Pelodiscus sinensis: one gene and its partner. The protein of the gene in region 2 interacts with the protein of the main gene of each other region in a pairwise test. Links are inferred from orthologs where the notes say so. Each region holds a gene or a part of one and is shown on either strand. Other genes may lie near its edges.

Region 1 (3,895 bases), on a different chromosome or scaffold from region 2:
AGGCTGATGGACCGTGGGAGCCGGACTGCCCGGGAATCCAGCTGCTAAGCAGCTCGGGGCCTGGCCCAGGCTGCTCTCAGGTGCGGCTCAGCGAAGGTCTGGGCCTGTCCTGCGCTTGCCCCCCCGGGGCCAGGTGCCGCTGCCCGCCTGCCCTCCGAGCCCCGGGACCGCCCGTCTCCTCGGAGGTGGCTGCAGGTTCCCTGGCTCGCCAGGGCCCCGAGTGAGATTCACAACAGGTGGGCTCAGCCACAGCTGGGTGGGTGCGTCACACAGTCCTCTGCCCCCCCACTGGCCCTTGGCTGAACCCACACGCTGCTTCCCCCCTGCCAACCGGGTCGCCATGGAGGCAACACAACCTGACCTTCCAGGCCACTCGCCCGGCCCGCCCAGCGTTATGTAAGTGGGTGGGTGGGTGGAGGAGCCTCTGCTTAACCCAGTTACCCAGTGAACTATTTCCAAGGCGCCCTGAGCCGACACGCCAGCGGAGAACCTGCCAGGACAGCGGGCACCGCACCCAGCGGGGGAGGGCGGAGACAGAGCCAGCTGCTGCCCTGGCAACAGTGGGACGGCGGGCAGAGTTTCATCCGAGGGGGGTTTGCATCGCCCGCCCCCCGGGGGTCGGGGCCTCCGAAGAAAGCACAAGGCTGGGGGGCCTGGCGTGAGCTCTCCTCCCCGGAGCTCCCCAGCCTCCTGGCTTTGCCCCTCACGAGTGCACCCCAGGGGCCACATCCGCCTTCCTGCAGCCACCAGGCATCCAGGGCATTTCTGGGGGCCCTGAAGCCGACACGAGTGGCCGGCGCTGCCGAGTCCAGGCTGGGGATGGAAAGCCCCCCCGGGACAAGAGGGAAGCCACAGGAGTCCCTCGAAACAGGGAGGGGATGTTCTCCCCGGCACTGGGAGGTGCTGAGCCCCGCCCCCACAGCACCTCTGGCTTCCAGCACCAGCGTGTCCAAAGCAGCTAGTCCCGGGGCAGCGTCCAGAGTCCCCGGAACGGGAGCCCATTCACAGCAGCAGGGCACGAACTCGCCCTGCCCCACGTCTCCGTGGGCCAGCACGGCCAGGCCTTCGGAAACTGGGGAGCCGAGTCACAGCAGCCCCTCCCCATCCCAGTGCAAACCAACCAGCCTTCCACAAGGTCACGCTGCCGCGCCCCGGGCTGGCGTCAAAGTGACAGGAATGGGCAGTGAGGCGGGAGACTCCAGACAGGCCACGTGCAGAGGGCAAGTCCGCAGGAGGACGAGGGAGGGAGGGATTTAGGGCTGGTCCTAACAAACCGGGCAGAGGGACAGGGGGCCTGGCCAGGGGGTCCCAGTGGGCGACAAGGAATGGCCCTGCTCTGGGCACACCAGGGGAGGCCGGATACCAAACTTCAGCCCTTCCAGCTCCCCAGATGCTCAGAACCAGCTGGCCCCACCCCGGAGCCCCCCACCCACCTCCTGGCCTGGCTCCCTGCTGGAAAACACACTGCACCGAAGCCAGCCCAGCGCCGGCTGCAGCCACCAAAGCCTCCCCAGCGAGCGGCTGACAACCGGGGGCTGCTGCCCACAGCACTTCCGAGTCGTGGCCAGTTTTAGGCAGTGGCAGCACGACACCACCGGGCAGGGAGCTGCGGTGCACGTGGATCGCCTGTCCGCGAACACGGGGGGGCCCGGCGGCTCCCGGCCTGCGCGCTCGCAGCCGCCAGTCAAGGTAAGACACCCCAGCGGGCCCCCCCGGCCAGCCAAGCCAGCAGCGGGGGGGGGGGGGGTCACAGCGTGGCACAGCCCCCGCCCCCCGCCCGGCTCACAGGGCTGGATCTGCAGCGGCCAGTCCTAGGAGGGCTCCGGCCCCCCCCCCGCCAGCCAGGCAGAAAGGCCCGGGCCCAGAGGCCAGGCTCGCCCTGCCCCCGCGGAGACACTGTCCAGGGCCTGAAACCGGCTGGAACAGCCCGAGCGCCGCTCCAGACCCCCCCGCACTCGCAGCCGGCCGGGCCCGCACGGGAAAGCCCCCCCGGCAGCAGCCCGGGCTGGAAACCCCCCAGCCCGCCCCCACGCAGCCCCGCGCGTGAATTCCCGGCACCCGGGGCAGCGCCAGCCCCCGCGCCCCGCCGCGCCCGGGGGGGGGGGGGGGAAACGGGGCGACCCCGCTCCCCCCGCCCCGCACCGACCCGCCCCGCCCAGGGCATCCGCGCTGTTGCCATGGAAACCCCCTTTCCCGGGCAACCCGCACCCGAAGTCCGGCGCGGGCAGCAGCGTCGCGCCCCGGCGCACAAAGCCCCAACCCCGGCAGCGCCCCCGGGCACAAAGCGGCGGCGCGAGCCAGACCCCCCCGCCCGACGCGCCGGCCCCGGGGGGCGCCCCCCCCGCCCGAGGGCCCCCCCGCCGCGGAGCGCCCTGCCCCCCCGCGCGCACCTACCTTCCAAGGGGACCGACCGGCCCTTCCCGTCCTCGCCTGGCTCGGGGCGCGGCGCAGCCGGGGGGTCACTGGGGCTGCGGGCGCGGCTCCATGGCGGGGGTGCAGCTAACAAAGCCCGGGCTCCGCGGCCCCTCCGCGCCCTGCCGCCGCCGCCTGAGCCACCGCGGGGCGAGTGAGCCGCTGCGCGCAGCTCCCCACCTCCATCCTGCCGCCCGCCCCGCGCCAATTGCACAATAGCGCCCCGGCGGCCTCATCAATATTCATGGCCCGCCCCCCCCCGCCAGGCCAGAGCAATGGAGCTCCTATCCGGAGGCGGGGGGGGGGGAGCTGCAGCCTCCCCCCCCCCCCCCACCACCGCCCCCGCCCGCGCCCGCGCACGCACGCCCGGGGTGGGAAAGGCAGACAAAGGGCTCCGCTCCCTGGCCAGGCTGGGCGCGCGGCGCGGGGCTTCCAGGCGCAGGGAAAGGGGGGACCCCGCCCCCCACTGGCCGTGCCCGCTGGGCAGGGGCGCCCCTGTGGGGAGGGCGCTGCCGTGGGGCTCAGCACGTGGGCGCAGGATCATCCCGCCTGGCCCGCTTGTGCGCCCGGCTCCCCGCCGCCCACCCGGCACCGCGACCTGCCGGGGAGGGGGCGCAGTGTCCCGGAGACACCAGGGGGGCAGGCCGCTCTGTCCCCCACCATCCCGGCACCGCGACCTGCCGGGGAGGGGGCGCAGTGTCCCGGAGACACCAGGGGGGCAGGCCGCTCTGTCCCCCACCATCCCGGCACCGCGACCTGCCGGGGAGGGGGCGCAGTGTCCCGGAGACACCAGGGGGGCAGGCCGCTCTGTCCCCCACCATCCCGGCACCGCGACCTGCCGGGGAGGGGGCGCAGTGTCCCGGAGACGCCGGGGGGGGGGGCACATCTGCCTCCCACCGCTGGGGGCGCAGTGTCCTAGAGAGACGTGGGGGGGGACACACACATCCGAGGCTATTCCCCCCACCTGATGTTTCACACCTGCTCCCTGGCCACCCGCTAGAAAGCTCCGGAGGGGCGTATGAACCCAACCAGCGTGGAGGGCCTGGCCTTGGCCCTTTTGGCTCCAGGGTGCCCAGGCTCGGGTCCTGGTGGCAGCCAAGAGAATATCCCCGCCAGCCCGGACGTGCCTTCCCCGACTCCGTTCCCCACCAGGGCCCCTTGCGCCATGCAGGCAAAACACCCCGGCCAGCAGCCCCGCACTGGACACTGCCCCACCAATCTGCCAAGCCCCCCCCCCCCTCCCCCAGCTGGACATGGTCCCCAGGGGAAAAGCTTTTATACATCAGCTCTGGAGGAGTGTTAGGAACCCGGCACCCCCCACCTGACCCCGAAACACCCCACGTTGGCCGAGCCCAGCTCCCGCCGTGCGCTACTATTGCAGCGTGGTCTCAGTGTGCGCGCCCCCACGGCCCGGCCCCCCTGCTGATCAGAGGCATGTTGGACGGAGCGGGGGGAGGAGCAGGTGCCTTCGGAGGAGACTTCC
Region 2 (3,895 bases):
GCTGCCAGGGCGTGCTTGCACAGTGCTGCCCCCTCTTCCTTGCAGAGCCCGCAGGCCAGCGCCGCCCCCTCTTTGGCCTGGCTGGCCCGTGGCTCCTCGGCTCCTGCCCCTGCTGCTCCCTCCTCCTCTGCGCCCTGGGCTCCTTCTCCTCCCTCCACCTTCCGGGCACTGGGGTCCCCTTCTCCCTCCGCAGCGTCTGGGGAGCTCCCTCCTTTGGGATCGGCCGCTGCTCCCCCCTCTGGCTTCCCAGCATCCTCCTCTTCCTTGGCGTGAGTCGGCGTTTCCTCCCCGGGGCTGGACGCCCCTTCTGAGCCCCCCAGGGCCTTCTCCGTGCCGCTGTCCAGTGAGTCTTCATCACTGCCTTCCTCTTCCTCCTCCTCCTCCTCCGACAGCTCCTCCTCATCCCGCTGCGGGGCGGGGCCCTCGGGGCGGTGGGGCGGCTCCCCTGGGGTGGTGGGGGGCTCGGGCAGCAGGGCGCCGTTGGGGATCTGGCCTCCCAGGTGCATGCGGACGTGCTGCTGCAGGCTGACGGCGTTGGTGAACTTCTTCTGGCAGATGGGGCAGGAGTTCTGGGCGCGAGCGGCCGGGCTGGCCTTGTGGCCCACAAAGTGGGCCCGCAGGTTGCCCCGGGTGGAGAAGGCCCGGCCACACACCTTGCACTTGAAGGGGCGCTCCCCGCCGTGCTGCCCGTAGTGCAGGCGCAGCGCCCGGGGGCAGCTGAGCACCCGCAGGCAGATCACGCACTGGTTGGGCCCCGAGGACGAGGACGAGGAGGGTGGCGAGGGGGCGGATGGGCCGGGCGACGTCCCCTGCCGGTCGATCTTCTCCACCAGCTGCTGCAGCTTGGAGGTCTCCGAGGGCGAGGCTCCCACCGGCTCCAGCACGTAGGGGAAGGGGAAGCCGGTGCTGCCGGCTTTGAAGTGGTTAGCCAGCAGGGCCCAGCTGGGCAGCTTGCCCAGGGGCACCCGGGCTGTGTCTGCTTCCCTCCCCGGCGGGGTGTTCTCATCCCCCTTGGCCCGCCCCTCCGCCGCTTTCAGCAGCACCAGCTTGTTGAAGACGGGCAGGGCCTGGGAGGCGCCCGCGGTGCCCGAGAGCAGCGTCAGGCTCTCGGTGGCGCTCAGCCCCTTGCGCTCGGCGGGTGGCGCCTCCTCGCCCGGCTCGGCCTTCTCGGGGGGCACCGACATGCCGTAGGGCAGCCCGGCGCCGGTCAGCACGTAGTCGAGGTGCTCGGGGACGGGGTGGGGGTTCATCTGCACGTGCGGGTACTTCTCCCGGTGCCGGTGGAAGTGCACCTTGAGGTTGCCCCGGGTGGTGAAGCGGTTGCCGCAGACGTTGCATTTGTAGGGCCGCTCGCCCGTGTGGGAGCGCAGGTGGATCTGCAAGGCGCTGTCACTCCCGAAGACCTTGGCGCAGAAGCGGCATTTGTGTCGGCCCCCCGGCTTCTCCTCTGGCCCCGCCTCGGCCCCGTTCTTCGGCCGCAGCAGCCCGGGCGAGGTGGCTTGCTCCAGGCCCCGTGCAGCCCCCAGACACTGGGCAGCCAGCAGCCCCGTGGCGGGGAGCGCTGGGGCCAGGATGGGCTCTGCTCTGGGGCCCCGGGCGCTGCCAGGGAAGGGGTGGTAGAGGTGGAAGAAGGTGGGCTTGGGCACCTCCGGGGAGCTGGACGCCTGGGTCCTCACCGGCTCGGACTTGATGGAGAAGACGGGCAAGGGGGCCTTGGGCAGGTGGGAGGCCCCCGGAGCCGGCTCCGGCTGCCCCAGGGAACCCAGCAGCAGCACCTGGCGGCAGATCTCCTCGGTCATCTGCATCTGGTGCAGCTGGCGCTGCTGCAGCACCCGCAGCTCCTCCAGGATCAGGGGGATGTTGAGGTGCCCCGTGGGGGTGGCGGGCGGGGGTGGCGGGGGAGGGGGCGGCTCCGGGGCGGCGGGGTTGCTGGCTGGAGGAGTCGTCTCAGTCTCCATGCCCGGGGGGCTGTCAGGCCGGGGCTCTGAGGAGGAAGAGGAGGAGGAGGAGGACGGGCCAGTGCTGTCTTGTCCGTTGGCTGAGGAGGAGGAGGAGGCAGGAGGCGGCTGGCTGGGGGGACAGGCGTCCCGGTGGGTGGCCAGCTCCGTGGGGCAGGACGGGGCGGCCTCGTCCCCCGTGTCCCCTGGGGAAGGAGGGAGAGAGAGTCAGACCTTGGGGGAGTCCCTGGCACCCCCAGCTTCTGCAGCACCCCCAAAGCTACAGGCAGGGGAACCTGCCCCCTGAGACCTGGGGCTGCCTCCCCCCAGCCCTCACCCTTCCATTGCTCCCAGGAATATTCGCGCAGCACAGCGCCCTCCCCCCCCACGGGCGCGTGAGAGTCCAGCGGGGGCTCGGGGCCCAGCAGAAGGGGGGTGGGGCAGGGTTCTCCTTTCCCCAGGGTGCACAGACAGACAGACAGACGGGGGGGTGCAGCGAGCGGATGCGCAGACTGACAGGGGACGGACAGACAGGCAGACAGAAGAGCGCACAGAGGACAGACAGACGGGCGCACAGACATAAGGGTGCAGGGGACGGACGGACAGAAGGACGCCCGGACGGACGGACAGACAGTAGGACGCACGGACAGAGGCCGGACGAGGTCCCCGCCCAGTCCCCGGCAGCGGCCGGAGGAGGCCCGGCCCGGCCCGGCGAGCGCGCAGCGGTACCGCACCTGCGGGCTCCGCCATGGCCCGATCCCGGGCGCGGGGCCTGCGCGCTGCGGCCGGAGCAGGGGGAGGATGCGGGAGGAGCGGCGGAGGGGGGGGGGGGGGGGGGGGGTAGGAAGCAGGAGGGGCGAGCGGATGCGGGAGGAGCCGGAGCGGGTCCGGGGCTGCAGGGACCTCTGGTGTCCGGATGCCAAAGCCGGAGCCGGGGCCAGCGCGGAGCGTCCGCTCCCTGCGGAGCCAGCCCGGGGCCCTCAGCCTGATACCTGAGGGGTTCCCAGACCCATCCGGGGTCCTTGCACCCCCATTCCCAGGGGGTTCCCAGACCCATCCGGGGTCCTTGCACCCCCATTCCCACGGGGTACCCAGACCCATCCGGGGTCCTTGCACCCCCATTCCGAGGGGGTTCCCAGACCCATCCGGGGTCCTTGCACCCCCATTCCCAGGGGGTTCCCAGACCCATCCGGGGTCCTTGCACCCCCATTCCCACGGGGTACCCAGACCCATCCGGGGTCCTTGCACCCCCATTCCCAGGGGGTTCCCAGACCCATCCGGGGTCTTTGCACCCCCATTCCGAGGGGTTCCCAAACCCATCCGGGGTCCTTGCACCCCCATTCCCAGGGGGTTCCCAGACCCATCCGGGGTCCTTGCACCCCCATTCCGAGGGGGTTCCCAGACCCATCCGGGGTCCTTGCACCCCCATTCCCAGGGGGTTCCCAGACCCATCCGGGGTCCTTGCACCCCCATTCCCGGGGGTTCCCAGACCCATCCGGGGTCCTTGCACCCCCATTCCCAGGGGGTTCCCAGACCCATCCAGGGTCTTTGCACCCCCATTCCGAGGGGTTCCCAAACCCATCCGGGGTCCTTGCACCCCCCCATTCCCAGGCGGTTCCCAAACCCATCCGGGGTCCTTGCACCCCGATTCCCGGGGGTTCCCAGACCCATCCGGGGTCCTTGCACCCCCATTCCCAGGGGGTTCCCAGACCCATCCAGGGTCTTTGCACCCCCATTCCGAGGGGTTCCCAAACCCATCCGGGGTCCTTGCACCCCCCATTCCCAGGCGGTTCCCAAACCCATCCAGGGTCCTTGCACCCTCATTCCCAGGCGGTTCCCATAACTATCTAGGGTCTTTGCACCCCCATTCCCAGGACGAGTCCCAGCACTGCCCATCCAGGGTCCCTGCACCCCGATTCCCAGGGGGTCCCAGCACTGCCCATCTGGGGTCCCTGCAC

The links.
Region 1: the proteins of sal-like protein 2 (region 2) and ZMIZ2 interact in binary tests that used the Homo sapiens proteins (3 or more experiments, as listed by UniProt). The two-hybrid records come from large-scale screens. The link is inferred for Pelodiscus sinensis from reciprocal best matches to the Homo sapiens genes SALL2 and ZMIZ2.

What each region holds. Positions count from the first base shown.
Region 1 is NC_134738.1:4,833,943-4,837,837, forward strand, and holds the start of ZMIZ2 (zinc finger MIZ domain-containing protein 2), read right to left. Parts: upstream 2,624-3,895; 5' UTR 2,395-2,623; intron 1-2,394. UniProt on the Homo sapiens protein: Increases ligand-dependent transcriptional activity of AR and other nuclear hormone receptors.
Region 2 is NC_134740.1:748,702-752,596, reverse strand, and holds the start of sal-like protein 2, read right to left. Parts: upstream 2,716-3,895; 5' UTR 2,688-2,715; coding exon 2,582-2,687; intron 2,144-2,581; coding exon 1-2,143. UniProt on the Homo sapiens protein: Probable transcription factor that plays a role in eye development before, during, and after optic fissure closure.